Linked DNA regions of Lonchura striata. The protein of the gene in region 4 purifies or fractionates together with the protein of the main gene of each other region. This does not show direct contact. Links are inferred from orthologs where the notes say so. Each region holds a gene or a part of one and is shown on either strand. Other genes may lie near its edges.

What was found.
Region 1: the proteins of POLR1C (region 4) and POLR3E purify together in Homo sapiens (affinity purification with mass spectrometry; 5 studies listed by BioGRID and IntAct, counting the BioPlex papers as one, with this or other methods). This does not show direct contact. The link is inferred for Lonchura striata from reciprocal best matches to the Homo sapiens genes POLR1C and POLR3E.
Region 2: the proteins of POLR1C (region 4) and POLR1E purify together in Homo sapiens (affinity purification with mass spectrometry; 5 studies listed by BioGRID and IntAct, counting the BioPlex papers as one, with this or other methods). This does not show direct contact. The link is inferred for Lonchura striata from reciprocal best matches to the Homo sapiens genes POLR1C and POLR1E.
Region 3: the proteins of POLR1C (region 4) and CRCP purify together in Homo sapiens (affinity purification with mass spectrometry; 5 studies listed by BioGRID and IntAct, counting the BioPlex papers as one, with this or other methods). This does not show direct contact. The link is inferred for Lonchura striata from reciprocal best matches to the Homo sapiens genes POLR1C and CRCP.

What each region holds. Positions count from the first base shown.
Region 1 is NC_134618.1:10,694,223-10,701,881, forward strand, and holds the start of POLR3E (DNA-directed RNA polymerase III subunit RPC5), read left to right. Parts: upstream 1-4,653; 5' UTR 4,654-4,765; intron 4,766-7,659. UniProt on the Homo sapiens protein: DNA-dependent RNA polymerase catalyzes the transcription of DNA into RNA using the four ribonucleoside triphosphates as substrates.
Region 2 is NC_134642.1:86,297,290-86,304,743, forward strand, and holds the start of POLR1E (DNA-directed RNA polymerase I subunit RPA49), read right to left. Parts: upstream 3,007-7,454; 5' UTR 2,915-3,006; coding exon 2,848-2,914; intron 2,753-2,847; coding exon 2,649-2,752; intron 2,462-2,648; coding exon 2,385-2,461; intron 1,312-2,384; coding exon 1,226-1,311; intron 703-1,225; coding exon 647-702; intron 1-646. Other genes in the region: ZBTB5 (zinc finger and BTB domain-containing protein 5), read left to right, coding at 4,897-6,921. UniProt on the Homo sapiens protein: Component of RNA polymerase I (Pol I), a DNA-dependent RNA polymerase which synthesizes ribosomal RNA precursors using the four ribonucleoside triphosphates as substrates.
Region 3 is NC_134622.1:6,502,151-6,509,906, forward strand, and holds the start of CRCP (DNA-directed RNA polymerase III subunit RPC9), read left to right. Parts: upstream 1-4,750; 5' UTR 4,751-4,888; coding exon 4,889-4,896; intron 4,897-7,756. UniProt on the Homo sapiens protein: DNA-dependent RNA polymerase catalyzes the transcription of DNA into RNA using the four ribonucleoside triphosphates as substrates.
Region 4 is NC_134605.1:36,008,579-36,016,551, reverse strand, and holds the start of POLR1C (DNA-directed RNA polymerases I and III subunit RPAC1), read right to left. Parts: upstream 3,007-7,973; 5' UTR 2,969-3,006; coding exon 2,900-2,968; intron 2,809-2,899; coding exon 2,737-2,808; intron 2,655-2,736; coding exon 2,547-2,654; intron 2,026-2,546; coding exon 1,893-2,025; intron 1,789-1,892; coding exon 1,669-1,788; intron 1,503-1,668; coding exon 1,350-1,502; intron 1,192-1,349; coding exon 1,042-1,191; intron 533-1,041; coding exon 416-532; intron 102-415; coding exon 1-101. Other genes in the region: protein YIPF3, read left to right, coding at 3,072-3,152, 3,226-3,432, 3,512-3,618, 4,204-4,249, 4,545-4,637, 4,973-5,104, 5,622-5,735, 6,196-6,319 and 1 more. UniProt on the Homo sapiens protein: DNA-dependent RNA polymerase catalyzes the transcription of DNA into RNA using the four ribonucleoside triphosphates as substrates.

The sequences.
Region 1 (7,659 bases), on a different chromosome or scaffold from region 4:
TCACCACTTCAGCCAAGCTCTTAAAAGCAGGTGTAAAGCTAAGCAGGCCATGAGATGATGCAGGATTGATCAGGATTTCTTGCATGCATAGCCAAGGAATATTAATTTCTTGTAAAATGCAGAAACTGTTTAGGGAACAGAAATCGGTTCTTCCCTTCCTGTCCAAGTGCCTGTCACTGGAATCAAATTATGCTCCCATTTTCTCTTTTTTATGGCAAGTGGATCTTGACTTGCTGTTTAGACATTTATCCAAGGGTGGTGTCAGTAACATCTGCCACTGTCTGAAAGAGGTGAACTCCTAGTGGTTAAGGGAGAATTTGAATCTTTTCTAGGAGGGAAGGGAAAGTTACCCTCGGATGTCCTGCTTCTGGCTGGTGCTGTAACCACCAGGCAGTTGTAGCGGTGAGCAGCCTTGCAACACATGGCAACATCTTTTTGCTGTAGATAGCAGGGGTTGTGGGAAAGTAGTGTCCATGGCCTCTTTCTTTTTTGTTTCGTTTTGAGAGTGAGGGCAAAGCTCTTCACCCATTAATGGAGGAATGTCTCATTTCTAGATCTCAGCTGGTCTTAGGTAGTGAGGTACTAAAACGACCAGATTTTTGGACCTAATATTTTTTGTACATGCTGAAATAGAACCAGAGGACTGCAATTAATATTAATCTTTTCAGTGCCTATCCAAAATTCTGCTTTAGATGCCTAAAGCCTCTCTAGGAATGTGGCCTGTTTTGCTATTTCAGTTCATAGCATTAAGGTGTCAGCTGTCAATGAAAGGTGAAGACAATTGAATAGTCTGTTTTGTGCAGAACCTATACAGTGGAGGGACTATAAATCAGACAGAAGGATTTCCCTGATGTGCTTCCCTCAAAAGGTGGTGATGCCAAATCTTTAAGATTTTCCTTGAGAAGGAAGCATGTGTTACCACACCACTAACCATTTAGGGAGGAGATTGAAAGTGTCCAAAATGTGCATGCAAAGGATGTAGAGTGTAATTATTGACACTTCTTGGTGTAGTTTAATTTGCTAAATTCAGTAGTTGCTGAAGTTGCTGACAGCTCAGTGTAGATCTGGTATGTAAATGTGCACACAACTCAGTGCAAAATTAATTAATTTTTTATTTGCAAATACTACTTTTTGGTGATGAAGACTACCTTCTGTCCTAAGATGTATCAGATGATTTAGCCATACAATAAATGGGACTGTCAATAATATGAAAATGGAAATTGTTTACAGAAATATACGCAACTTAGTCTGTGACATTCTTTTGAAGGGAAAAAACTGTATATTTTAAAGACTTTTTGTAATTATATTGCTTTACGCTGTATTTTTAATCTATTCACAATGAATAAATAAAAATCTGTATTTTTTAAAAATGTGAAAATAAATCTGAGGCTCAGCCTGCCAGGACTTACCTGGGCTCAGCGTTGCCAGAATATTTCTTGGGTAAGGACAGTGAGATGGAAGACTTTGTATGTCAGACAAGCAAATACTTCTTGCCTGCATCACTTAGTACTCTCATTCACTTTGTCTGGGTTCATTCTGGCTAGTAAATAAAATTGTTCTTTTTGTCACTTTTTCTCAGTAGAGTGTTACTCATTGCTTGTGGGTATTTGCTTTTGGGTTGTTTTTTTTTTCTTTATAAATTGCCAAAATTCAATCCTACTATTGCAAGCTTCCAGAAATCCTCTCTGTTGTTTGTATTATTCTATTCCCAATTTCATTCCCTTATTCCCTTTTAACAGTCAGAAGTAACTAACTGGGAGGAAATTATCTGTTTTCCACCAGAAAACAAAATGGTTGATGTGCTCTCTGATTTACATTTGATTACACACGTAATTACATATGTCTGTAGCCAATGGAGGATAAAATATAAAGACAGGAAAGCTCATGTCCAGGGTGCTACGGAGGCCTCCCTATCCTTTTAGCTTTTGTTTAGTCCTGAGAATAGGCTGGAAATTCTTGGGCTCTATGATTTCAGGTGGGATACAATATCTAATGATACACTGTCATCTTGCCTGTTTGAAACAGGCTCTTTCAAACTGTTAAAAATGGAGCTCTTAGTGTTGCCTTTTTACTGCTTTATTTAGACAGGTGGAACTTCTTATACCTGTGTAGTTTAAACAATGTGAAATTATCTTCTAGAAAGGGCACTGTGAAATAGCAGAATTTCCTAACAAAAAAGCACCATGTGGGCCTCTGCATTGTGGAAATCACTAAGATGAAAAATGGTGAAATTTGGCACTGCTCTAGCTTTATAGGCCTTTGGAGTTTTTAGATATAGCTGCTGTCACAGAGATGGAGTGTTTGGCAAATGTAACAAAGTAAGAATAGCATTCTTCAGAAACCATGGAGACAGCAAACTCTTACAGCTTATAAAGTGTAAATAAGTATATTGGCTTTTTCTTAATTACTGGTCTGTGGGACTGATTTGAATCTCGTTCTCTTCCCCACAGATAAAATTTCACTCAGAGTAGAATGAGTGCTGACAGAGCCAGGTGTAGTTACGATGGGTCAAGTCAGGACTTCTCATCTGAATTTGGAGAGGCAGAATTTCATTTGACCCTCTCAGGACGGATGCAGGGCAATGCTGCCAGGGGTGAGTCAGGGTATTTTCAGGTTTAAGTTCAGGGATATCTCTCAGTTGCTCCTGCTGATGGACTTAACTCCTGTGTGGGGACAGCTCAGGGCTTTGTAGCTATTGGGCCTTGCCTTTAGTCTGGGAGTCTGACATACTCCAGTATATGTGGGTCCTTGCTAGTCCTTGGCTATCCTGTGCCAGAAAACAAAGTAATGAGGCTTGTCCTATATTTTGAGTTCTCCTCACGTTAATTATTTTTTAATTTGGAAATGATTCTGCCATTATAACTGATGTTGCACAGGTGAAATGAAAAAACTGGTGACCCAGCTGCCACCCCCGAGGGACAGCCTGTGCTCTTAGCCCCTGTTTCCCACGTGGCTGATGTGAATAATCTTGGGTACACAGGCTTCCTTTGGTGCTCAGGAGAAATGTCTCTGTGGCCAGGCACAGAAACACTTCAGGGACAGAGGCTGAGCTCAGGGCAGAAAAGCACTTTTCAGGAGGGTGTTAGTTCCCTGCACTGCCTGGGCAAAAGGGCCTGTGGGACTGAGCATCCCACACAGTAAGGAACAGTTTGTAATGAGTGTGCTACGCAGCCTCCTGCACACACACACAGGCTTGAAGACTGTTAAAACTGACTCTTTGCCAAAACTTTTCTCTTGAGCAGGTTACAGGTGATTTGTTGTGTGAAGCCAGTTCAGGTCTGCCTGCCTTCTCTCCTCCCTGAACCTCTCCTGCTGCTCTGTTCTTAAAAAGCCGCACATCCTGAAAAGGCACTGAACTGAGGGTGTGAAACTTCAGCAGCACTAGAGGAGTTTATTCATGTTTACATGTGTATGCTGTTATTCCTCAATACTTGTAGGCAGTGAATTGAATTTTTTAGCAAGACTGTGCCGTGCTTCAGCCTCTCACAATGAGAGTGCTAAAAGCCTGGCACAGGTTGCTCTGAGAGGTGGTGGATGCCTTATCCCTGTAAACATTCAAGGTCAGGTTGGACAGGGCTCTGAGCTACCTGATCTGGTTGAAGATGTCCCTTTTCACTTTAGTGGATGGACTATCAGACATTTTTTAGACACTTCCAACCCCAACAAAACCATTCCCTGCTTCCATTTCAGCAGCTCCCTGGAAAGAGAGCTGGCACCACCGGGTGCTGCAGGGACAGGCTGTGGGAGGTGCCAGGGGAAAGGGTTGAATGATGCTGTCAGCAGGGCTCCCGCAGGTTTATTTTCTCTATCCTATTTAAATGAACTGCCACAAGGACAGAATTAAATCAAGCTGCATTAAGGCTTTGTGGCCTTACCATAGAGAAGCTGGAGTTCTTCCTCAAAATACAACCCTTCAGTTGTAATTAAGTGGTGAAAAAAAAGATTAATTCTTTACGAAAACTCACCAGACTTTCAGGCAAAATGCGACCAGAGACTTCCAGAGGCACGTGCATGGAGCACCAGCAGCTGAGGTGTGCTACCATGCATTTGCACAGGTGTACTGAGTACTGCCGTGCTGGTCCCTGTGCTATACGCAAAAGAACAACCCCCCAGGCATAAACTGCTGACTTTTGACTTTGCGAATTCAGGGAGCTCTGACTTTGCAACGGACAATTAGAATTTAGAACTTTTTTTAGGCTTTCAGAGGGGGTGCCCGGGCGGTGCCACACGTACGGCGCAGGCGGCTGTGCTGCTCCGTGGCATCCACGTGGCAGCGGGCGCGGCGCGGAGGGCTCGGGTGCATCGCGCAGCTCCAAGTGCCGCTGCTTGGGAACGGGCTGAAAAGGACCCCCCCGCATTTTATTTTCCGGGTAGAGGGGGTGTGTAGGCAGAGCGGTTGTTGGGGAAGGAGAAGGGTGGGAAAGACGGGGACAAACCGGTGTGCAGTAAAAGCATTGCCAAAAGGCAGCATGCTCGTGGCGGTAGCGTGGCCGAGCGGTCTAAGGCGCTGGATTAAGGCTCCAGTCTCTTCGGGGGCGTGGGTTCGAATCCCACCGCTGCCAGCCCGGGTTCCTTTTTGCGCCGCGGGCCGCCGCCATCGCCCCCTGGCGGCAGCGGCGGCCGGGAGAGCATTGTGGGTAGGAGGAGGCGCCGCGTCCCCACGTGCCGGCCCGCGGGCCACCAACATGGCGGCTGCCTGACCGCTGCCCCACCGACACGGGGAGCGGGGGAGCGGCGCCGCCGCCGCCGCCCGGCCCGCACACAGGTACGCGGGGCCGCGCTGCTTTTGCGCCTCCCGGGGCCGCCCCGGCGCCGGGGACCCTGCGGGTGGTGGCGAGGGAGGAGCGCGGCCTGGGCTGGGGTGGGCTCTGCCTGTCCGGGGAGGACGGCGGAGCCGACACTGCGAGGACCCGGCACCGCGGGGCCGCAGCGCCCTGACAGGACCTGGCTCGGGCCGGGGCGCTTGGGGGCCGGGCCGGGTCCGGCCGCAGCCGCGGCCCCTCGCCTGCCGCGGCAGCACCGGGGGTTGCCGGCCGTTCCTCTGGGGGCTGCGAGCGGCGGCCCCGCCGGTCCTGCCGGGCCCGCAGCCCCTTCCCCGGGCAGGACTCGGCGCACTCGCCCCGAAGTGCAGCGCCTGCCCCTGCGTGGCACCGGCGCTGCGGGGCCGCAGCCCAGCCCAGCCGTCCTGCCCGGGGGGATCCGCTGCGTCCCCGCGGTCCGGGCGGCTCGGGCGGCCGCTGTGGCCTTTCCCCTTTCCCCTTTCCCCTTTCCCCCTGCCCTGCCCCGCTGCTGTGTCAGGAGGGGGCGGGCGCCAGGGGCGGCCGGCGGGAGCGCTGCCCGCGGGGAGCACGGCTCGGGCACCGCGACCTGCCCCGGGAGCGTCCCACCGCGGCGGGAGTGACCCCTGCCCCCGGCAGCCCCGGCCTGGCACGTCCCGTGCTGCACACGGGGTGAGGTGCTGAAGAAAGGTTTGTGCTTGGTGCATAATCTCTTAAACCCCAAAGGTTTGCTTCGGTGACATCACCTCCAGAGAGAGGTCCTGGTGCAGAGGAGCCCTCTTGGGTTCACTGCCAGAAGATGACTGTGCAAAGCTGCTTGCAGGCGAGGAGAAAATGAAGCAAGTAATTGGGTCAAAATGATAATTGCCATAAATGTATGGAAGGTGCTTTAGCTTCTTTTTGCAGATTCCATTTTACTGTGCGCCATGGGCCACCCTGAGCTAGAGAGTTGCTCAGAGCCCCTTCTAGAGGAGCCCGGGTGCCAGAGGTAGTTGTGGTACTGATTCAGGAAATGGCATTTTTCCCACGCTGCCGTTTCAGCATTTATACTTTCAGGCACTGATCCAGAAGGAGTTGTTGGCCTTTCTTTGTCACTGCATGATTATATGAAGAATATATCAGGTTTTAGTGTTAGCACTTTGGGGGTCTATTATTACTGACAAATTTAGGTAAAAATGAAATACTGGAGCATTTCTTGCAGGCCTGACTAAAAGTATGTGTGTCAAATGATGTGCAGGTTTGCAATTTACCTTCTTGCAGTTACATTTAAGTCTTTGGTAGTAAATAAAATTAAATCTCTAATACTCAAATGCCCTTCAAAGCTCAGAGGGAGATGTAGGATTCAGTTGCTTCATCACTCATTTTTACAGTTTTTTTAACCACAAAATTTTTCTTCAATGGCTCTATGTTGATGGTGTTATTGGCAGCTAAAGAGCAGTATCATGGATTGGTCCTTGCATTAGTCACTTTGCAGGAGAAATGAGAAGATTTCTATCTCTTGCCCTCCTGCTAGTTGATAACTCACATTATACTTTGATTTGCACCTTAAAGGAAAGTCCTTAAAACAAGAAGGTTCTACCAAAACCTGCTGACCATTTTTGCTGTCTCTTAATGTTTGATTCCATTATGTAACTCTTGTGGTATCGTAAATATATGTATATGAGAAGTGTGGAAATTAACACTATGTATGTATATATCAGACATTGTGTCTGCATGCCTTCATTCTGATTCAGAGGATTTCTTCTGGTTGCATGAGTATTATAAGTTGTACTGGGACACACTGCTTCCTATTTATAGATGTGTCAGTCTCATTTTCCAGTAAAAGTATCTGTAGTCATGCTTTATCTTTACAGGACTAAGAAAAAAAAAAGTAGTTTTTGTAATGCAGCATTTCCCCTGAGCAGTGACAGGTGGATTCCCAAGGAGATTTTGTGTATAATTGCATAGGCAGTGTTCAGTGAGGGGCCAGAGACCAGGTTCTTCAGGCTGAGTTTCTCTGTCCCTGTTAGCCCAGGAGGGTTTTCTCTTCTTGGAAGTGAAATAACTTGCTCAGAAAAGAACAAGCCTAGCAGATACTTGGCATGCAGGCTGTCAGGAAGGGAAGGGTGGTTCTTGGTTCTCTCAGGGGTGTGAGGAAGGAGGGTTTGGACCCAAGTGTCCCACCTTTTGGGTGTTGCCACATGTCCTCACACATCTTGGGCATCCTCCCACCATCAGCTCTGAGCTGAGTGCAAGCTGCAGTTGTTCCATGTCTGCAGAGCTGTCAGGTGTTGGGCCACCTGGGGACGTGAGTGGGGAAAGCAAAAAAGGAACTGACTAACCTTATTTCTTTAAAACATATTAATGTGTCTTTCTGGGAGGAACTGGGTGCCTGATCACAGAAAAACACTGATATCAGTCAGATATCACATACTCATGGTTTTGCTCACAGTCCAGCCTGTGGTTAAGGTACTGGCTTTTTGCTGTGAAGGTGTTTTGCATTTCTACAACATTACTTCAGATAGGAATCTGAAATACTGAGGCATAAATTTTTAAATACATATGTATGGTACAAAGACCCTGGGACATGCTGGTGCATAAAGAAATGGAAAATGCCAGCTCAGTATTGGGAGGGGCACTTTTTTGGTAGCAGAGAGTCTGTAAGTGAAAAATACGGAATTATATTTCTTGGTGGAATGGCAGAAACACTATAAGCCTGAATGGATGTTAATAACACTTGCATCCAGAATGTCTAGCCTCTTTGAAAGGTTTCTTAGATACCTATGTGTACATTAGTGTGATATTTGAGAAGCCTGTATGTCAACTGAAATATACTGAGCTGCCTAAATTGTGTGGTGGCTTGAGTATTTGAAAAAAATGCCATTGTTGTAGATGTAACATG
Region 2 (7,454 bases), on a different chromosome or scaffold from region 4:
GAAACACCCTGTGCACCCAGGGAACACAGACCCCAAATCCAACACCCTGAGCACCAGGGAACACAAACCCCAAATCCAACACCCTGTGCACCCAGGGAAATCCAACACCCTGTGCACCCAGGGAACACAAACCCCAAATCCAACACCCTGTGCACCAGGGAACACAAACCCCAAACCCACCTGCACAAGGCAGAAACACAAACTGAAACTCCCTGTGCACCCAGGGAACACAAACCCCAAACCCCAAATCCATCTGCACAAACAGAAACACACACTGAAACCTATGCACCCAGGGAACACAAACCCCAAACCCACCTGCACAAGGCAGGAACACACACTGAACACAAACCCTGCTGCTCCTCCCACACTTTAAACTCCTCCTGTGGCAGGACCCGCAGGTGCAGGGTGCGCTGCTCTGCGAGGGGCAGGAGGTCACTGGGCTGGTGACCAGCCTGCAATAACCAGGTAAACCAAGAAAATGAGGAAAATGCTCCTGAGCCAGGCAATGCTCATGCTGCCTCCTGGACACTGGGAAAATGCTGGCCCTGCACAGGTTCACCCTACAGGACAGCAAACCTCCCAGGCTGCAGACAAGCCCCTCACAGCTGGACAGTCACAGCAGAGCAGGACACAGCTCCAACCTTACCTTCTCCCTGTAGGATTTCTTCTGATACTCCTTTGTGTCGTCAGGTATCATGTTATCTACAAAACAGCAAGAGTCAGTTTGCTTGCACAGAAGAAGCAGGACAGGAATTCCTTTGGCTCTGTGACCGACAGACTGGGCACAGGACCTGCTCCATGTCCCCTGGCTCAGTAAAGGACATGACAAATATGAGAACCTAGGAAAAAAGGCTTCTTCTTCAAAGCCTTACATGCAATATATGGACTATGGCCCAGCCCACGTCCTGCTGCTCAGGGTAAAAATCAGCCACAATAGATGTGACCCTTTGGGCAATGACAAAAAGCAGCCCTGCTGGATAAAACCTGTGGGTTTTTGGTTTTATTTTGTTATTCAGGGGTGCAATTCCTGCTGAGGGTCAGGCTCCCTCAGCAGAAGGCTCCCAGAGAAGGCAGCACCTGAGCAGTGAGGCTCTGTGAGTGCCTCCCCGCCTGTAGAGTCCCTGCTGAGCCCCCAGCCGTGCTCCCCCTCCCAGGCTGTGCAGGAGCTGTCCCTGTCCCTGCCATGGGCACCAGGACACAGCCCCGGGCTGCCAGCACCTCCCACCTGAGAGCAGGGGCTGCATGTTGAATATTTCAGCATTGTAGACCTCCATCTGCCCAGAGCTCCTGTCCAGCACGCCAACAAAGTACCTGGGGAGAACAGGGCACTGATCAGCGAGAGGCAGAGAGCAGAAATCATTTCAATGTCATGGTTGTCTCACAGCCCAGCAGCTCTCCTGCCTTGCACACACAGCACTACAATAAGCCAAGGCTCCTCCATGGCATGTGTGCACACAACAACAGAAGAACTGATACTCTAAGTAAGTGCAGAAGTCCTAAAAACAACTGAATTCGGTACAGTGTAGGTGCCAGAATTCTGCTTTTTTCTCTTAAAGTGTAGGTGCCAACATTCTGCTGTTTCCTTTTCCCTTTCTTTTTGCTAGGCAGGACTCGATGGCCATAGCTTGAACAACAGCTGAATTTCCAAATTTCCTCCCAGAGCTCATGATCCTCAGAGCTGCAGGCAAGCAGCCCAGCAGCCCCCAGACCACTGGCTCACCAGTGTGAGGCCCGTGTGCTGCTTTGCTAGCCCCAGCAGTGCTCTGCTAGCCCCGAGCAGTGCTCTGCTAGCCCCGAGCAGTGCTAGCAGTGCTCTGCTAGCCCCGAGCAGTGCTCTGCTATCCCTGAGCAGTGCTCTGCTATCCCCGAGCAGTGCTCTGCTATCCCTGAGCAGTGCTCTGCTATCCCCGAGCAGTGCTCTGCTATCCCTGAGCAGTGCTCTGCTAGCCCCCCCCAGTGCTCTGCTATCCCCGAGCAGTGCTCTGCTAACCCCGAGCAGTGCTCTGCTATCCCTGAGCAGTGCTCTGCTATCCCCCCCCAGTGCTCTGCTAGCCCCACCCAGTGCTCTGCTATCCCCGAGCACTGCTCTGCTAGCCCCACCCAGTGCTCTGCTATCCCTGAGCAGTGCTCTGCTAGCCCCACCCAGTGCTCTGCTAGCCCCCCCCCAGTGCTCTGCTATCCCCGAGCACTGCTCTGCTAGCCCCACCCAGTGCTCTGCTAGCCCCCCCCCAGTGCTCTGCTATCCCCGAGCAGTGCTCTGCTAGCCCCACCCAGTGCTCTGCTAGCCCCCAGCGGTGCTCTGCTAGCACCATGTGCTGCTCTGCTAGCCCCCAGCGGTGCTCTGCTAGCCCCCAGCAGTGCTCTGCTAGCCCCGTGCTCCTCACCTGCACAGGGAGCTGCACTTCGTCCCGTCGGTGCCGAAGTTGTGCCCCACGTAGCAGAGCCGCTCCGTCTCCGAGACCTGGGAAAGTGGGAGAGACCCCTGGAGAGGGCTGAGGGACACCAGGAGAGCTCCTGGGGAACCCAGAGACACCAGGATGGTTCACACCCCCCGCTCTGAGCCCGTTATCCGCCCCTGCCCCGCCGTGTGCCACTCCCGCTCCATCCCGCACCCCGGTACTCCGGTACCGCGGGTGCCGGGCGCTTACCAGGATCCTGTGGTGCTTCTTCCGCGGGTGCGTCGCCTCCCGGTGCCGGTACGCGGCGAAGCGCAGCGAGTCGGGCCGCTCCAGCCGGCCGTTGGCGAACCGCACTAAGGGAGAGGAAAGCCCGTGAGGCGTGGGGCCGCCGCCACCCCCGGGGCCGCTGCCACTCCCGGGACCCGCCGCTACTCGCGGGGCCGCTCACCGAGCGCCGCCGGCAGCTCCGGCTCGGGGTCCCCGCGGTAGCGCCAGATGGCGGTGGCGGTGGCCATGGTGAGGGCTGGGCCTGGCTGGGCCGGGCTGGGCCGGGGACGCCGCTCGGTGCCGGTGCCGATGCCGCTCCTCCGCCTCTTCCGCTGGTGCTTCCGGTCGCGGCAATAAGCCCAGTCCCCATTGGGTGAGGTGAGGCTCCACCGCCGCCTGGAAGTAACGGGGCCGCCGGTTGGCTGCCGGCGCGGCGCGCGCCGCCCGCGGCCGGAAGTGACGTAGGGTGTCGGCGCGGCGGGGCGGGAGCGGGGCCGGGGCCGAGCCCAGGCCCGATCCCGATCCCGGTCCCGATCCCGAGCCTCGCACCGCCCGTCCCGCACCGCCCTTCCCGCACGGACACCGCAGGTGAGCGCGGCGGCGGGGGGCGGACACCGCGGAGCCCAGCGCCGGGCGACACCGTGGCTCTCCGGTGTCCCCGGTGCGGCCGTGCGCGGCACGGAGCGCAGTGCCCGCTGCGCGGTCCCCGCTGCTGGTGCAGCGCGGCGGGGCAGGTGCTCCTCTGGGAGGGGCACGCATGCTGGCTGGTCCCGGTGGTGCGTAAGGGAAAAACGGGGAAATAACGGGGAGAAAACGGGGGAATGGGGCAGTGTCTCGGGAAGAGCAGCTCCCGGCAGGAGAACCCAGTCATCGCAGGTCGGGTGACGTTCCGGACTCTCAGAGGCTCTAAATCACTTCATTTTCCCGTGCTGAACAGTGCAGGTGATGCCAGGTGAACGATCTGCCGTTGTGACTCCCTCCGAGGACACGCTGGGATTCCGGGGAGAGCCCCCGGCCAGCACCGGCAGCGGTGGCAGGGAGCAGAGAGCAGCAAACAGCTCCGTGTTTGAGGACGGACCTTGCTGTGCACCCTCCTCAAAGTGTGATCCCGGCCGTGTGCCCTTTCTTTCAGGCTGCACTGGGGTCTGGCTGTGTTGTGCTCTTTCCTTCAGGCTGCTCTGGGGTCTGGCTGTGTTGGGCCCTTCTGGCTGTGCTGGGCTCTGGCTGCATTGTGCCCTTTCCTTCTGGCTGTGCTGGGGTCCCGTGCCCGTCAGTGCTGCTGCAGAATAATGTGAGCTCAGGAACTGCTGTGTGTGTGCCTGGGGAGTGCTCACCGAGCCTTACACGGCACGGGGAGAAATGGAGATACTCTGAGGGTCACCTCCGTGGTCCTGAGGTTGATCTGCAGGACAGGTCTGATGTTAGGTGGTGAGGACTGGGGAGAAGCCAGCCCCGGCTGCTGGCTGCTTGGCTGGCTGGGCAGTGCCGTGTTTTTCTGGGGAAGGTTGCCCAGGTGTGCTAGCAGTGTGTCAGAGGGACAGCAGGTCGTTTCGATCAGTTTCACCAACCAGAAGCGACTGTTTCACAGTAGGTGTGGGTGTGAGGAGACCCACGCAGTCTGGGCTCCAGCACAGCTGCCTGTGTGTGGCTGGTGCTGAGCTCAGGCTCGTGGTGTTGTCACTGCTCCTTCTTGTCCTCCCGACCTGCCTTTGGTGCTGTGCCCATGTGCTGGTGGGACACTCAGGGCTGTTTGTCTGTCTGTCTGTCAGCTGTCAGCTCTTGTCCTAGCTGCCAGGTTGGCTGCAGCCCGGCCAGGAGTTCAGCCGTAGGATCACACAGCAGCTTGGCTTGGGAGGGCACCTTGTCTTCTTCCACCCCAGCCAGGGCAGGGACACCTCCCACTGTCCCAGCTGCTCCAGTCCCAGTGTCCAGCCTGGCCTGGGCACTGCCAGGGATCCAGGGGCAGCCACAACTGTGCCAGGGCCTGCCCACCCTGCCAGGGAACAGTTCCATCTTGTGCTGCTGTTTTTCAGTTTGAACCCAGTCCCTGTTCTCCTTCACTGCAGACTCCCATGAATAGTCTTGTAGCCCCTTCAGGCCTGGAAGGCCGTGGTGAGGCCGCCCTGCAGGCTGCACAATCCCAGTTCAGCCATGCTCTGCTTGCAGCAGAGCTGCTCCCCCGGCCAGCCCGGCGGCCCACACAGCGGTTCTCTTGTGTTTTTGCAGGACCATGGATTTCCCTGGGCACTTTGAGCAGGTCTTCCAGCAGCTGAACTACCAGCGGCTGCACGGGCAGCTGTGCGACTGCGTGATCGTGGTGGGCAACCGGCACTTCAAGGCGCACCGCTCGGTGCTGGCCGCCTGCAGCACGCACTTCCGCGCGCTCTTCACCGTGGCCGAGGGCGACCAGAGCATGAACATGATCCAGCTGGACAGCGAGGTGGTGACGGCCGAGGCCTTCGCCGCGCTCATCGACATGATGTACACGTCCACGCTGATGCTGGGCGAGAGCAACGTGATGGACGTGCTGCTGGCCGCCTCGCACCTGCACCTCAACTCGGTGGTCAAGGCCTGCAAGCACTACCTGACGACGCGGACGCTGCCGCTGTCGCCGCCCAGCGAGCCCGCGCAGGAGCAGAGCGCGCGGCTGCAGCGCTCCTTCATGCTGCAGCAGCTGGGGCTCAGCATCGTCAGCTCGGCGCTGGGCTCCTCGCAGGGCGCCGAGGAGCCGCCCGGCGCGCTGGGCGCGGCGCTGCGCGGCGGGCTGGAGCAGCGCGCCGCCTTCCCCATGCGCCGCCTGCACAAGCGCAAGCAGTCCTCCGAGGAGCGCGCCCGCCAGCGCGTCCGCCCCGCCATGGACGAGCCCGTGGCCGACGTGGCCGCTGAGAGCGGGCAGCCCAGCGTGCACTCCCGGGAGGATTTCTTCTCTCCGGACTCGCTCAAGATCGTGGACAACTCCAAGGCCGACGCGGTTGCCGATAACCAGGAGGACAACACGATCATGTTCGACCAGTCCTTCGGCGCTCAGGAGGACGCCCAGGTGCCCAGCCAGTCGGACAATGGTGAGGGGAACATCTCCCAGATGTCTATGGCGTCCCAGGCCACGCAGGTGGAGACCAGCTACGACCAGGAGGCTGCTGCTGAGAAGAGCAACTTCCCGTGCGAAAACCCCGAGGTCAGTCTGAACGAGAAGGAGCACATGAGGGTGGTGGTGAAGTCTGAGCCCCTGAGCTCCCCGGAGCCCCAGGACGAGGTGAGCGATGTCACCTCGCAGGCGGAGGGCAGCGAGTCGGTGGAGGTGGAAGGAGGAGTGGTGAGCGCAGAGAAGATCGAGCTGAGTCCCGAGAGCAGCGACCGCAGCTTCTCGGACCCGCAGTCCAGCACCGACAGGGTGGGGGACATCCACATCATGGAGGTGTCCAACAACCTGGAACACAAGTCTTCTTTCAGCATTTCCAACTTTCTGAATAAAAGCAGGGGAAGTGGCTTTGGCGCCAGCCAAAGCAACGACGACAACATTCCCAACACCACCAGCGACTGCAGGATGGACAGTGACGCCCCTTACCTGATGAGCCCGGAGTCGGGGCCCGCCGGCAGCCACTCGTCCGCCGCCGTGTCGCACGTGGAGAACCCGTTCAGTGAGCCCACAGACTCCCACTTCGTGCGGCCCATGCAGGATGTGATGGGTCTGCCATGCGTGCAGAGCTCCGGCTACCGAGCGGCGGAGCAGTTCGGCATGGATTTCCCACGCTCCGGCCTGGGCCTGCACTCGCTGTCTCGGGCCATGATGGGTTCTGTGAGAGGCGGAGCCGGTGGCTTCCCCGGCTACCGCCGCATCGCCCCCAAGATGCCCGTGGTGACCTCGGTGCGGAGCTCGCAGCTGCAGGAGAGCTCCTCGGGGTCGCAGCTGATGATGAACGGCGGCAGTTCCTTCGAGGGCGGGCACCTGTCGCAGCCAGGCCCGCCGCAGCTGACGCGCGCCTCCGCTGACGTGCTGTCCAAGTGCAAGAAGGCCCTGTCGGAGCACAACGTGCTGGTGGTGGAGGGTGCGCGCAAGTACGCCTGCAAGATCTGCTGCAAGACCTTCCTGACGCTGACGGACTGCAAGAAGCACATCCGCGTGCACACGGGGGAGAAGCCCTACGCCTGCCTCAAGTGCGGCAAGCGCTTCAGCCAGTCCAGCCACCTCTACAAACACTCCAAGACCACCTGCCTTAGGTGGCAGAGCAGCAACCTGCCCAGCAGTTTGCTGTGAGCCCGGCAGGCAGGCGGGCGGGCGCACACCGGCGTGCCACGGTGCCAAACATAGTCTTGGCTCTGCCATTGGGGATATCCGGTACCTACCTCGCGGGTGTCGCCGCCGGGAGCCGCGCGGCGGGATGGGGATGCGACCCCCACGGCCAAGAGCCCCTTTGCAGGGCAGAGGGGCGACAGCACGGGGGTCTCCTGAAATAGCACGGTTTGAGAACAAGAAACTGACGTGCGCTTTCCTTTCTTTTTGTCTTCTCTCTAAAGCGTTTTGTAACAGTGGAAGCATTTAAATGATTACTGTAACATGAGTTGCTGCATTACCTGAGGATGGAGCTGCAGACCCCTTACCTTTCAAAGAGGAAAACAGCTTAGGCTGCACCTGTCTGACATAATGCTTTAAAATACGCTACTTACGACGATAGTTCTAGGATTATGAATGTATGTTTGGCTGTTTTGTAGTAAAGGACACTGTGTAATCAAGGTGCTTAAATTAAATCCCACACAAATAACTTTCGGACTGCCAGGTGTACATATAAC
Region 3 (7,756 bases), on a different chromosome or scaffold from region 4:
CGGGGCCGGCCCCGCTCGGGTCCCCCCCGTGTCCCCCGTGTCCCTTCCCAGCCCTGCGCTGCGGCTCGGGGGCAGGGGGTGCTTTGGACAGGGCGGCTTGGGAGGGATGCTCGAGTGATGCTTCTCACCCGGCGTAGCTCCTGCGCTGCGGACAGGTCGGGAATATCCTTGGAATGCCTTGCTGGGGATATCGCATCTCTCTGTGTCACACCCCTCCAACGAGCAATCTTCAATATAAACAGAGCTGATCCAGTGCTCTGTGCCCACTGCCACCCAGCAAACAGAAAAAAACAGATGGGAGCCTCTTGTTCTTTCCCATCTCTGCACGGATGAAAGTGTTCACCCCATCTGGAAAGATGCTGCAGCTCCAAATTTGGGGCTTCTCTGCTGTCCCCAGGTTGTGGGGCCACCTGAGAACCTCGGGCAGTGGCTGTGGGGCTTGGAGTTATGGCAATAACCTCTATCCTAAACTCATCACACCCTAAATATCGTGGAATGAAGTGACTGATGGAAAGGACGAGAGACCTTTTCAAGTAGCAAAGCTGTGGCTCTGCATAAATTTCTCATTAACTCCTCAGACAGAGCATTTACTGCAGCCCCTCCACAGATAGTTGAATATTTTGCTACTTTCTCCAAGTGAGCTCCTGCAGTGCAATATTTTTCCATGTACATTGTCCAAACCCCTCACAGAGTTTAGGAAACATATTCCAGCTTTCTCATCCACGGTTTTTGTTGTATTTTCCTCACTTAAACTGACCCTCTTGTTTGTTTTCTACTGTTCTCTCAGTTCTACAACTTATCCCCTTTTCCTTTTTCCACTGGGAAACTGAAACAGTTCTCGATTCTTTTGCAGTCCTATTCCTTCCTCTTGTGAAATCCCTCGCTTTTACCACCTTTCTTGTCTTTTCCACCTTTTCAAAATGTCCTTTCCTTACTCTGGGCTTTGACAGGAGATCGCCAATATGCTGTGAAAACATTAAGCACTGGGTTTATAACTAGAGTGAGTGGGTGTAAATAAGATTTTGCTAGCCTGTGTCTGATATTACATGTGACAGGGGATATTCCATCCACATGGGATCTGTCAGCAATGCCACTGTGGATTTAGCAAACTTCCCAGGGATTAGTTGGTTTGGAGTGCTCTGCACAGCTCCTGCCCCAGTGTGTATCTAGGAAATGATGAATTCTCTCTTTATTGTTAGATCAAACAGGCAATAATTATGTTTTCTGTATAACAAGCAATGTAGGATGTAGATTAATATATTCATAATGAGTGTGGAATTAAAACAAAATAAAAGCAGAATTCCTCAACTTAAAAATGAACATTGAAGAAATAGGATTTCTTAAGGATGCTTAGAGTTGGAGAGTTGAACTTTGTTGAAGGGAAAACAGTAAAATAGCAATGCAAAATATACTTTCTAATGCAAACTGAATTGTATTCTCATTACTGTCTTCTCCATTTGCTCTGTTTTGGATGTCTCTCCACTTCCCATCACTGCCTCTCAGTGATTTATTTGAAACAGAAAGATTAACCTCAAAATCCCCATCCCACAGTTAATACTGGGGAGGTTCTGAAGGAAAAGTCTCTCTCTTATTTTCCTTTCTGGCACAGGGCATGGCAAATCATTCCTACCTCAATATTCCCAGCTTCACCCTTTTCAAGGTGAAAATAAGTACTGGAGGGTAAATTGCCAATTCTGCAGAACAGAGAAGTTTAATTAAATATATTTGGATGTTCTCAAATATCTGAACTTTATTTGTACTTCTATAGTCCATCAGTCTCTCTCTACTATTTCACTTTTTTTGCTGAAAGAGTGCAATGCTGAAGGAGTGCAGCTCCAAAGGAGCTTTGGTGACTCTGGAAATCCACTTTTCACAACAGGACTGTGAAGGAAAAGGATAGCTGAAACAGCTACAGTGCACCTTCTTTTAAAAACATTATTTTTTTCAGCTGTCTTTTGCTTTGGAGAAAGAAAACAGCTCCATGGGCTGAACGTGCCATGCAAACGCACTGTCAGCTCACCTGACACGGAGCCCTGCTGACATATTTTTGTTCAAAAAAACCCTACCTTTGTTTTTAACTCATTTTTCAATGAAAAAAGGAAAAAAAAAAAAAAGGTGGAAAAAAAAAGAAAAAAATAGAAACCGTAGGGTGCTGAGCAAAATGCTGAACGCAGTAAACATCTTTCATGACAAAGAACACAAATACCCTGCAGATCTGCTGGCAATAGCAAGTCCTGGGCCCCCTGCTTTCAACAGTTAATACTGAGGCCCCTCTCTGCCCAAGCCTTGCTGGTAACAATCACAATGTTAAAATGTTGACATGCTAAGCACATTTGGGAAAAAAACCCATGTCTGCATTCCCTATGGATGGTGTAGCATCACTGTCTAACACCTAAAGAGCAGCAATTAAAACCAAAGTGACCTTCTCACCTCACCCCCTGCCCCGCTGGTTCTCTCTTGATATTCCCTTTCATGATGGAGCTGAGCCATATTTGTATTTACAGCCTGCCAGGCTTCCTGTCTCCGCTGGGAAATGTTTAGGAAGTCTCTATTAGGGAAAAAAAAATGCTGTTGGAAGAGGTGTCGTGCTCCCTCATCCCCAGGTGGGTTGTAAAATGCAGCACTGATTGGAAAAATGTGTCAGGAAAGTGAAATTTTGGGGAAGGGGTGGAAAGAAATGTGTCAGGAAATCAAAATTTTGGGGGAGGGGTGGAAAAAACATGTCAGGAAAGCAAAATTTTGAGGAAAAGGTGGAAAAAACGTGTCAGGAAAGTGAAATTTTGTGGAATGGATGGGAAAAACATGTCAGGAAAGTGAAATTTTGGGGAAAGGGAGGAAAAAACATGTCAGGAAAGCAAAAATTTGAGGAAAAGGGTGGAAAAACATGTCAGGAAAGGAAAATTTTGAGGAAAAGGTGGAAAAAATGTGTCAGGAAAGCGAAATTTTGGTGAAAGCGTGGAAAAAACATGTCAGAAAAGTGAAATTTTGGGGAAAGGGAGGAAAAAACATGTCAGGAAAGTGAATTTCTTGGGGAAATGCAGAAAAATGTGTCAGGAAAGGGAAATTTTGTGGAAAGGGTGGGAAAAACATGTTAGGAAAATGAAATTTTGGGAAAAGGGAGGAAAAAATATGTGAGGAAAGCAAAATTTTGAGGAAAAGGTGGAAAAATGAGTCAGGGAAGTGAAATTTTGACAAAAAGGTAGGAAAAATGTCAGGAAAGTGAAATTTTGAGGCAAATGTAGAAAAAAACATGTCAGGAAAGTGAAATTTTGAGGAAAAGGTGGAAATAAATACAATAATTTGCTGCTGGGGGAGAGATGTAAAGAGATGTAAAGGACACTTAAGATAATTGTGCTGAAGGTTCTGAACCTTTAGCTGCAGAGGGTGGTGAGAGGCAGACAAGGATTGACAGATTTCTGGAATGAAACCCTGAAATTTGATTGTCTGGAAATACAGTATTTTCACATGAAACCTGCCATCTTTTCCCTTCTTTCAGGCAGCTGCACGTGGAGGGTTTGGGACATGGCAGAGCAGCCACAGAATTTTTACTGTGCCAGTTTTGGCCAACTTACAAGGCCAGTTAATCCTGACATGAAAAAGGGCATCATCCATCACATCCTGTGCTCTGAATCACACAGCAGCTCTCAGACTTCTCTCCTGGCTCTTTTTTTATTCCACAGGACTCCACAATAAGTTATTTTGAAATATAAATAAATTTCTATCCGTGTGTGGTGGGGCGCACATGCCCACCAAAACTTTTTTTTAGGCGTTTTCAAATTAAAAGGGCTGAAAAGCCTTTGCAGTTGGCTTTTAAATTTTGTCCAGCACTTTTATATTTGGTGATGGAAATTCCTGGAAAACTGGGAGCTGCTCCTTTCCAGCTGTCCTGGCACTGCAGACTGTTCCTAAAGCACCACAGTTTGCTCGTGTTACTCTGAATTAGTTTAGGATTTGCAATACCCCAAGGAGAGGAAAAGCCTTAATTTTGTCTGGTTTAGTCGTGGAGAAAACAGTGGCTGGTGGGTTTTGTGCTGGAATTGCAAGGCAGAGGTTGCAGGCACAAGGTTGACTCATTCAGTTCCCTAAATCCCTAAAAGTCCCTTAAATCCCAGCTGCAAGCAAGCAAATACATCTGTATGACACTCCTTAGGGAGTTAGAGGTGCTGCATCTGGATATAAAATTTTCCCTGAGAGATAATATCAAAATTAAGGAATTCTATTTCCCTGGCCAGGTAATTTTCCTTGCGGTTTCCATCAGGATTTTTAGCTGTTTGCACTCATTGAAATGAAGATGGTTTTACTGAGGATGAAAAGAGCTCTTGGAAAATTTAACAGCACATGGTTTAGACGGGAAAGAGTCACGGTGACAGCTGGGGAAGGAACGGTGCTGATAAATTGGATGGATGCATCGAAAAACAACAGGAGTATTGCAAAAACACTTCAGCCCTGCAGCACATGGCTAAAGATTTGATTAAAAATATTTTCGCGTTACTGTTTTGCCTTGGTCACAGTTAACAGCGGCTAATTGCCAATTTGAGTAATTTCGGAGACAAATGACAATTTTCTGACTGATGTATGCACAAAGGCCGTGATAAAAAGTCGTCTCTCATCGCCGGCATTGGTGGTTCAGTGGTAGAATTCTCGCCTGCCACGCGGGAGGCCCGGGTTCGATTCCCGGCCAATGCAGCTGATATTTTCCGGTTTTTCTTGTTTTATTTATTTATTTCTTTTAAGTTCCTTATTTCTCCTTCCGCTTCCGTGTCGGCCGCCAAATCCTCCTTCAGCTCCACGGGGCCTCGGCCGGCTGCTCCCCCGCCGTGCCCCGCCGGGCTGCGGCTGCCCCGGGGGAGCGGGAGGATCCTCGGGGAGGCCGCGCCGGGAGGACGAGATGGAGGTGTAAGGACCGGCCTGAGGGGGGCACGGGGGAGGACAAATGGAGGTGTAAGGACCGGCCTGAGGGGGGCACGGGGGAGGACAAATGGAGGTGTAAGGACCGGCCTGAGGGGGGCACGGGGGAGGACAAATGGAGGTGTAAGGACCGGCCTGAGGGGGGCACGGGGGAGGACAAATGGAGCTGTAAGGAAGGGTGTGAGGGGAGGACAGCGGGGCTGCGGGGCACCTCAGTGGGGTTTGTGTGGGGAAAAATCTCCGTGCGGCTGCATCTCCATGGGAGTGGGGTGTGTGTGGGCACATCTGTATGATTTATTAAAAAATCTGGATATTGATCTAGTACCGATGTCCAGCTGTGATGGACAAACACTCTCTAACAGTTTAAAGTTAGACAGTGTGTGTTTATTGTGTGCGGGATTGCTCCCAGATACACACCGCAGCTTCCAAGTGATTACAGCGCCCTTTTATCCGTATTGAATACCCAAAATACAAATCCATATTAATCATTTTGGTACATCCCATTCCTCACTTCCTATGCTAATAATTTCAAAAGCCATTCAGCATGCTTGGTTTGTTCCTTGAAATGGGTCGGTGTCCCTTCCATGGGGAGGGGTCCCAAAACGAGGAAGTAAATGAAGTCTTCATCTTCCTCGTTCTGACCTTTCTACCTTTTCAATGCAAATATGACAAATTAACTCTTGGTGGAACTCCCATTCCTTGTCTTCAATTGGTTTCAGAACAGAGTGGGCCGCAATTGTCTTATGTTCCTAAAAGCTATTTGTCAATTTATATTCTTCATTATAAACCAGCTAACTAAACATTGTGCTGACAAGCAATCAATTATTAACTACTAACTCTTTAACTTCTACTAATCTATTTAATTAACTCTAGTAAGGCTTATCTCTAACTAAAATCTTAGCTCCTCTAAAATCTCTAAATTCCTTAAAATTTACATTTCAAATCCGTGAGGGGTGTGAGGGTACTGTGAATCTGTGATGTGAAAAACACCAATCACTTGGTTTTTAAAATTTTGAAAGTTTAATAATAATAAAATGGTTATAAAAATAGTAATATAATTAGAGTAATAAAATTTAGAGTTAGGACAATTACAAGGCAATAAAAAGCAAAGAATTACAGACGTCCAGATGCTCTTGGACGCTAAGTCATGAAAAGCATCCCTTGTGAAGAAAGGAATAACCTTAAAAGCAACAGCCTGATGCATATTCATATATCTCATACATGAGATACATAAATTCTTCGTAAATTAAAACTTTTTGGTTTTGTCAACTTCTTCTCCTTAATCCTGTTGGTTCCACAAAGATGGAGAGAAGGTGGAAGAATTTTTGTCTTTTCTGATAAGGAGGCTGTAACTTTTTATGGGCCCCCTTCGCTGACATCTCTGTGTGATGAGTTTATTGATTATCTGATCTTCCTGCTTGAGATTGTAACAAATCCTATATCACAGAGTTTCTATTTTAACATTATGTTGTAAGCTAAAACTACATTTAGCACACTACTTAAGAGAATTAATACAGCATAACTTTCTAACATTACACATATAATATTCATTTGCAGAAAGCCAATCATAAAATATGCATTTTTCACACGTGAGGGATGTGAGGGTACAGCTCCCAGCAATAAGTTCAGGTGTTCTGCTCAATGTCAGAGGGGTTTATTTTATTAAAACTCCTGCTGGACAAGCTGTTGGGGTGAAAGGTGGTGTGGCTCAGCCTGGCTCGCTCTTTTCGCCTCCTGTCTCCTCCCTCTGCCCTGCAAGAGGCAAAATGAGATTTTTTCATTATTCCCATGAGCTTTGTGTAGGAGCTGGAAATGCTGGAGAAGGATAAAACCTGCGGGGTTTGTGCCAGCCACTGCAAGCACAATAAGAGAGTCAGAATTTTGGCTGGTGGCTCTTTCAGGCCTTCTTACTGTGTGTTTCAGGTACAAAGCAATAGGATTTGACCTGTTTTGACACTTAAAATCTCACGAGTTCTGTGGAGCTGGTTAAATTTCTAGTTTTCATTTAATTTTAATTTCTCTAATGGGTGGGGGCATTAATGGGATGTGTCTCCCAAAATCACTGAGCTTCTGCAGCCCTGTAGTCCAGGGATGCTTTATTATCATGAAATCTTCTCTACTGTGAACATGAAAATCAAAATTTGATAAAAAATATGAAACATCTGCTGAAGTACAGTGAAGTGCAGTCTTAATGTGAGTAGCAGCCGGCAGAGAAATGATCTGTTCTGGCTGTTGTACACTAAGAAAAATGCTTTTACCATTTATAAAAAAATCTGTGATGCTTCTTACACATCCACTGAGTTTTTATTAATCTTCTTTTGCCTCCTGCCTGATTTGGAAGGGAAGCTTTGCAATTCTCTAAGTTCTTACTGTGGATTTTTCTTACCAGAATTATTCTGTATTTCTTACCAGAATTATCTGTTATTAGAGAAAAGAACTCTCAGAAAACAGTGTGGTTTAAATATACAACACATGTGAAACAGCAGACTTAAAATATGGATGTCAGTGATTTTTGTAAAGATGTGATGCCCTTTACCAAGGTATTTTTTGATATATTCAGCCCTACTCAAGAGTATTTTGGTTTAGGCTAAAATTTGGGCAAATACGAGCTCTTTAAAGACTCTAAAAAGTGTTTATATTTTTGCTGTTACCATGAAAATTTTCACCTTTCTGCTTAAGTCTTAATCACATAAAAATTAAGCAAAGTGTTGAGCTGACTGCTTAAAAATAGACATTAGAATCCATTACTCAGATTTCTTTGTTTCCTGACTGTAAAATTGGGAGCTGCGAGTCAGGACAGAAGGAAATTTCATTTCTATTGCAAATGCTGATCAATTTATAATTTTGG
Region 4 (7,973 bases):
GTCCAGCTCATTGAGGAAACGCTGACACTTTCCCATCAGGATCTTGATGGCTTCACTTACCAGCACATCTGGAGGCAAGATACCTGTCGACTCCACTGAAACTGCACAGAGACAGACACAAGTCAGCACAGCCACGAGGCAGCCTCAGCCTCCATGCCCCTGGCTCCATGCTGCTGGCCCTCACCTTCCCTTGCACCTCACAGCAACAAGCCAGATCTTCACAGCCAGACAAGCGGCTCCCTTTGCCAGCAGGAAGCACCAAGAGATTCAATCCCAAAGCAAGTAGTTACTCACTGCGTTCTGAATGTATGGATGCTGAGGGTAGGAAGAGGCACAGAGCCAGCCATGCATGCTGGTCAGTCACTGCTTGCTCACACAAACCATGTCAGGACTCTGTGGAAAACGAGGCACTTACAGATGTAATGGTTCCGTACTCTTGCCAGGCGTACGAGGTTTTTCAGACTCTCATGTCGGAAAACTTCTCTGCTGAATGTGTCCAACCGTGCATTGGCTACTCTTGCCACCTTTTTTCCTAAAGGGAAGATGAAACGAGATGGACAAATTGCAGCAGGTGGATACCTTATGGTCACAACATGTGCTTACCTCAAACAGGCACTCCCTCCTCACCAAAGGCTGGGAGACACCAATAAAAAGAATTAGCATATACCCAACATGAAAGTCTAACCTGGCAGGAAAACCCAAACACAAAGCGTACATGCACCCCAGAAAGATACAAGAAGTCTCCACACTCAGCTGCTTTTCCAGCTCACTACCCAGTGTCACAACTGAACAGCACTGCAAGCTGCAGTCAACAGCTGCAGAGCTCTGCGGACAGGTATCCAATTTATTTCAGGGACATCCGTGTTTGTCACCCAACATGCTGCACATGGCAGCTACTCATCCATAAAAGTAGGCTCGGAAGAACATGAACCATTGATCAGCACAGCAACATTACATGTGGTTTTGTTTCTGCAAAGTTTGGCTCTAAGCTCCAATCTAAAGCTTGCAAGGAACAAGGCAGTTAGCGCAGGAAAAAAGTACCATTGATATTCTGGATCTCAATGACTCCAGGGGAGAAGCACTTCTGCAACATCTCAGCTGCCTCATCCTCAATAGGCTGCAGGAGAGTAATGTCAGGAAGCAGTCGATAACTGGCTGTGGCCACAGGAGAAAACTTGGCATGATCCTTACCTGTATGAAGAGTTAAGAGTCAAGGATGAGAGCAGGCCTCAGGGAACAAGGATGCTCAGGCCTGAAGTTCCAGGGGAAAAGCCAGTTCTCCACCCTTCCCCATCACACTGCAGTGCCCTACTCCAAACATTCCCGCTGCCCCAGGAGCCACGACTCACCTATACCCTTGACACAGTGCATAAGCACATCTATTTCCTGTCCAGGTCGCAACAGTGCAATGAGGATGTCATCATGAACAGGTCGGAAGTCAGCATCTGGGAAAAGGTCTGTCTGATTCCCCAGGGGCACCCATGTCATGTGTTTACTGTACACTGCAAAGAGAAGCCACAAGCATCAGCCAGCTGCTGTATAGGACTGGAGATAGCAAAAAGAAAGTTTAGCAGAATGGAATCAACTCTCCCTGTGAGCACACAGGGCTGAGAAAACAGCCCAAAACCAAAAAGAAAAAACAGCACCTATTTTTAGGAGCAATCTCACCTTTATGATTGAAATATAGTTCATCAGGATCAGATGATTCCTTGGCAGCCTGAGGGTTTCGTTTGCATTTGATTTTCAGCTGAAACTGCAGAGTATCAATTTCAGTGCCTTCCTGATCTCCTGGGAAGAAGCATATGAAATCACACTTCTGCTCAGTTTACACAACCCTGATTTCCTACTTTGAGAGAAACCTTCAATATTTCTATTCTGTTCAAGATTCTCACCTTGGTTTCTGTACTCAAAGAGCCTAGGGTCAGCTCGGATAGGGATGAGGCCCAACCGATGAGCCAGAATTTCATCCTGCACAATGGATGTGTTGTTGTACACAAACACCTTCTCTACAGCCATCGTTGGCACCTCAAGGAGACAAGAGATCAAGTCAGCTTAAGACAATAGTTGAACTACATGCCAAGAGATTATGCAGCTCAAGTGTCCCTCCTCTCCCACAAATAACTGCCAAGCAGACTATTTTGAGTGGTATTTCTACCAAATCAGGCTATGCAATATACCCGTACACCACATCTATTCCTATCCCCGTCTTTTTAAACAATCAAGAGATGAAGGACAGGAAAAAGGGCTTTGGGGCATCCTGAACCTGTTAGTACTTGGCAGCATCATGTGGCTTCTGTTGGGTTGGCCACGCAGCTGTGTTGAAATGGCTGACCCGCAGACACTACCAAAGCACCCCTAGGACCAGCAGGCGCTATTGCCCATGCTGCTAAAGTCCTAATTCTCTTTGGGCTCCTGGCACCCATGCGGAACGAACGTGTGCTTCTCTTCCAAAGCCCGCAGCTGTCCGCAAGGGCTGACAATGCTGGACATTCCACGCTCCCTGTCAAGCCAGGCTTAGGCCGGCACCACCAGGTGAGCAGAGGTACCTCGGCGAGCAGGATGCGGCGGAAGGCGTTGGCGATGGCGGCGTCGATGCCCACCATGTCGAACTCCAGGGCGTCCTCTTCCTCACGGATCACGTCCACGCGGAACGCCTGTGGGAGCCGCGCACCGCGGGTCAGCCGGCTGCAGGGCCCCGTACCCACGGGCAGCCCCGGCCCGGCGCCGCTCACCCACCTCCTCGAAGCGCCGCTGGTCCCAGGCGTCCTCGTAGCCGGGGTAGTTCCCGGGGAAGTCGGTGGTGTGGACCTGCGGGGAGAGGGCAAGGCGGGGCGGTGAGGGGGTGAGGGGGTGCGGGCGCCGGCCGCCCCGCCCCGTCCCGCCCGCCGGGCTCGCTCACGTTGCGCACGCCGAACTCGCCCAGCACCACGCGGTCCCGCATCTCGTCCGTGCCCCGCCGCGCCGCCATGAGCGCGATGGGCGGCGCTGCTGGCGGTGCTGCTGCGCCGGGAGGCTCCGTCACATCCGCTCCCGCCCATCCGGGCCAGCGCGGCGGGGCCGGGAGCGGCGCCATGGCCGCGCCGGGGGCGGCGGGCGGCGGCAGGAGCGGCGCCCCCGCCGCCGAATGGGGCGGCTTCGAGGACAACATGCAGGTGGGGCCGGGCCGGGGGCGGCGGGGCCGGGCCGGGCCGAGGGGGTGCTGACACCGAGTCTGCCCCGGCGCAGGGTGGTGGCTCCGCTGTCATCGACATGGAGAACATGGACGACACGTCGGGCTCCAGCTTCGAGGACATGGGGGAGATGCACCAGCGCATGAAGGAGGAGGAGGAGGAGGCGGAGGGCGAGGCGGGCGCCGGCGAGGAGGAGGAGGACGGGGAGTTCCTGGGCATGAAGGGGCTGCGGGGGCAGCTGGGCCGGCAGGTCGCTGACCAGGTGAGCGCTGTCCCCCGTCAGCCTCCGGCCCCGGGTCCTGCCTGCCCGCCCGGCCGCTGCCCGCTCCTTCTCTCCGCAGATGTGGCAGGTGGGGAAGAGACAAGCCTCCAGGGCCTTCAGCCTCTACGCCAACATCGACATCCTCCGGCCCTACTTCGATGTGGAGCCCGTCCAAGTGCGAGCCAGGTGGGCTGCGGGGAGGCAGCGGCTCCGAGCCCGCAGCAGTCTGGCTGCCAGGCCCGAGCGAGCGCCAGTTGCCCCCGCAGGAACGCTCACCTATGGGCAGACACATCGTGCCTTGTCCTGCCCGCCTTAGCGAGGTGCTGTGCTTGGGCTGGCAGCCCTGTCACCTGGCATTGCTGCTGAGTGTAGGAGAAGGGACTCTTTTTGTACTTGGCTGCCCTATGTGGCTTCTGTTGGGTTTGCAACACAGCTGTGTCCAACGAAGCAAAGTTTTGTGAGACTTTATGAGGAAACTTGCCTTTCCTTCCTGCTCTTCTGTCAATGATCTCTCATCCCTGAGTGGATCCCTAAATATTTTCATTAAATCTGCCCCTCCTCAGCAAAGTTAACCCACTTGACAGGAAGGTTTTCGTTCTTTAGTGACCTTGACTCACCCTTTAGAAAGAATCCACTGTCCCTCAAAGGCTGTCAACACAATAGCAAACACTGGTAATGGGTATATGGTGTCTTTTACTTATGAAGTATTTTGTTAATTCTCCTGTTGTTCTCGCTGCTCCTGTTGTCATTCCCTGCTTTCCTGTGATGCAGACTGCTGGAGTCCATGATTCCTGTGAAGATGATTAATTTCCCACAGGTGAGTTCCCTTTTGCTGAATCAGACTCCATGGCCAAGTGACTGTCCCACAGACACCTTGTAAAACTTGTAATAATCCATGTTATTAAGGACTAAGTTTGTTAGATGTTCTTCTTCCTGAAAATGTTGGTGGCTCCTTCCCATGGTTGTTCCAAACCTCAGCGTGCTGTCACCTAACCTCAGGTGATAACCTGGGTGCTAAACTTCATCCAGTGCACTTTTCACATCACCTGTGGTGGGAACCCTGATATTCTGGGGCTCTAACCAAACTTTCCCTCACCTGTCTCCTCCTGTAGAAGATTGCAGGCGAGCTGTATGGACCCCTCATGCTGGTTTTCACACTGGTGGCCATTCTTTTGCATGGAATGAAGACCTCAGACACCATCATTGTACGTCGAGTTTCAGTGATAAGTGGTGGTTTGACTGGGCTCTGGGTTGCCATGACACTAGAAAAGGAGAGGAAACCTCTTCTATAACTGAATAAGCATCTTGCTGAAATGAAGATTGATTTGAGGATGTTGGTTTGGAGGTGGGAAGAAGGATGTACCAGAAAGTTTTGACACTATGCTGCTGGAAGAGCTTGGGGTGTAGGTCCTGTGGCCCCTTGAATGCTGCTGGGCAGCTGTTTAATAATGCCTACAAAGTGTCGGGACTCCCATGGGTTAATTTGGGTACTGGCAGGTCACTTCTTTGAGTTCTCCTCATCCTGACACTGTCTCCACAGAGGGAAGGCACGTTGATGGGCACAGCCATTGGCACCTGCTTCGGTTACTGGCTGGGTGTCTCATCTTTCATGTATTTCCTGGCATATCTGTGCAATGCCCAAATCACAATGGTGCAGATGCTGTCACTATTGGTATGTACTCATGGAGCTGCCCTATGATGCACACTGGCTGCATGGTGTTCCAGAATAAGTTTTTCCCAAAAAACAGGCAAAGTCTTTTTGTAAACTGCTGGTCCCAGGTAACTGCACTGGGACAACCTGGAATTCTGGGATGTTCTTCTGACCTGCACCATCCCAGGCACAACAATAGTACAAAGAGGCAGTTCGTTATGCAGGTCTCCTGCTTTGAACTTGCTGATTTGAGAACCTGGTGGTAAAAAGCCAGGAAACTCCAGTTTCTCTGGGATTGGAGGATATTTCCTCTGTTTCCCATGTTGTCACAATCTCTGACATGCCTGTGAATCCTTTAGATTATCTGTGTGTGAGCTGCTGTTGAAGTTGTTGTTCTGGTTGACTGTTCGGCAGTGAATGAGTGGTTTGTGAGGCTTTGCTGTGGTGAAGTGTTGCAAGAATAGGCGGTTTGTGCTCTTGATCAATGGCCCTTTGTGTGGGACCGGTGCTTCTAACATGGACATTTTTGTTTTGTCAGGGCTACGGTCTTTTCGGACACTGCATCACTCTCTTTGTCACCTATAATATTCACTTCCACTCCCTCTTCTATATCTTCTGGTTGGTTGTTGGTGGACTCTCTACACTACGGATGGTAAGGGATAAGCAGCCTGGGGTCTTTCTGGGACAAAAAAAGGGACGGAAGTGTTTGCTTTCTGTTCCTTGGCCTGGTGGTTCATTTCACAGCCAGACGAACTGCTCTGGAGAAAATGATGCTCCTGAATAATTTGGCCACTGCTATATGGAAGTGCTATTTGGATTAATATCCTCACCCATTCTAAGAGCTGCAGGAGGTTTATTTACTCCCTTACAGCTCTTGCTGCTGTGGAGAGCCATGCCTGAGCATCCTGAACTCTTGGCAAGACTGGGCAATGTTCACCTATACAAAACAGTGTCAAATTTCTCCAAATTTGTTGGTGAAAACTGCAAAAAAGACTTAGTGTGGTGTTCCTGCAGATTCTCACTGCCTGACCTGTTCTTCCATGTGTTTCTGACTGCAGTGCCAGCGGCTCAGGTAGCAGGTGCCCTGCCTCTGATCACCTCCTCTCTCTTAGGTTGCTGTGTTGGTTTCACGCACCGTGGGACATACCCAGCGGCTCATCCTGTGTGGGACTCTTGCTGCTCTGCATATGCTTTTCCTCCTCTATCTGCACTTTGCTTATCACAAGGTGGTAGAAGGTAAGCAAGGGAGATACAAAGATATCTTGTTAGATCTGGGGGAAGAGAAGTTGTTTTTTCTCTCTCTGAGAGAGAGGATGGACAGTTTGAATCTGTCCTTTTGGGCATCTGTGCCAGTTTCCAACTCTAAAATCACTATCACTAGCTTTTTAGAAGAAGCTGTTCAAGTAGGGCAGCAGGTAAACATTGGGGTAGTTGCTGTGCACTGAGTTTTAGCACTTAAGACCCAATTTGTGAGGCAGGATCGTAATTATTTCTCCACAAGTGAAGTGTAACAGCACTGACTCTTCTTGCATGCAGATGTCCAGCCCCTTCCTGAATATTGTTGAAGTCAGGTTGGTTTTCTCTGATCAGGAAATGTATCATACGTTTTTACTTCTTTGTTGAACATATTATTGTATCTTGTGTTGTATAGCACAGATAGCAGAAGCTATATCTTCCCCAGCTGGTACTGTTAACCAGGCCATGGATTTTCATGTCCTCCTTCTATCTCTTCTTCTTTTCTCCTAACAAAATTTCAACTTCCTTAAAAAAAAACCAAACAAAACCAGAACTCTTCTCCTACCCCATCTCTAGAGAGTTTCCAGATCCCTAAATATGCAATTCTGCAAGTGTCTATTATGAGTTTAGGCAGCCAGTTTAGGCAGTGTTTGTGATATTTTTGATAAATCTGCGTAATTAGCATAATATCATTACAAGTCCTTTTGGATATAAATCCTGTCCTTCCTGAATCTGTTTTTATGGCAAAGGTTCTGACCTGTAGCTTTCTGGCAGATAAAATAGAATAAAATATACTCCAGGCAATTTTCCTCAAAGCACTCCAAAACTGATTATCAATCTTGAGAGGGTAATTGACAGAGAATTGAGGACATTTGCATTGGTCTGTGTATTTCCTGCCAAGCATGGTCTGTTTGCATTGCAGTGACAAAAATTCCACATTGCAGCACAGCTGCAGTTCCTGATGTGAGTCTGCAAGTGTATTTCAGGATAAAAGAAAGTCTTGGTCTAAGAGTGAGATCTGTGCTGGAATGAAGTAGAAACAGGATTTTATCAATTTCCCTCAGCAGGGCAACATCTCTGGCAGTACCTGCATTCAGGTCAAATGTCAGGGACTGGGTCTGACACCCTCAAAGTAAAAGGATCTGTGTACTTTTTGGGAGCATGTAGCTTTCATGCCCCTAGCACAAGTTCTGATGTGTACAGGCCCTGCCACCCTCAACCACTACCTGGACAGAGAGAAGAGCAAAAACAAATGTGCTATCTGCTATCATCTGAATTAATTCTTGCTTTTCTCCCCTTTTTTCTGTTCTCCAGGTATCCTGGACACATTGGAAGGACCCAACATGCCGCCCTTTCAGAGAGTTGCCCGAGACATTCCAGCTGTTTCCAATGCTGTATTGAACACAACAGCCAAAGCCATTGCATTGACCCTCTAGTTTTACAGACTTGGACTTGCTTCCTTCACTACTTTTGGGGCTGCATAGGGCCACAGTAACCTGCTGCCTGTTAGGAACAGGACAGAACAGCAAGAAGACAACTTGGTTTTGTTTTCCTGGACCTGTCCTCTGCATTGCGGTTTTGGGCAGTTGAGTGGACTCAGTGGAAGTGAGTCACACCTCAGTGACTCAGAAGAGCTGCACTCTTCCCCCATCCA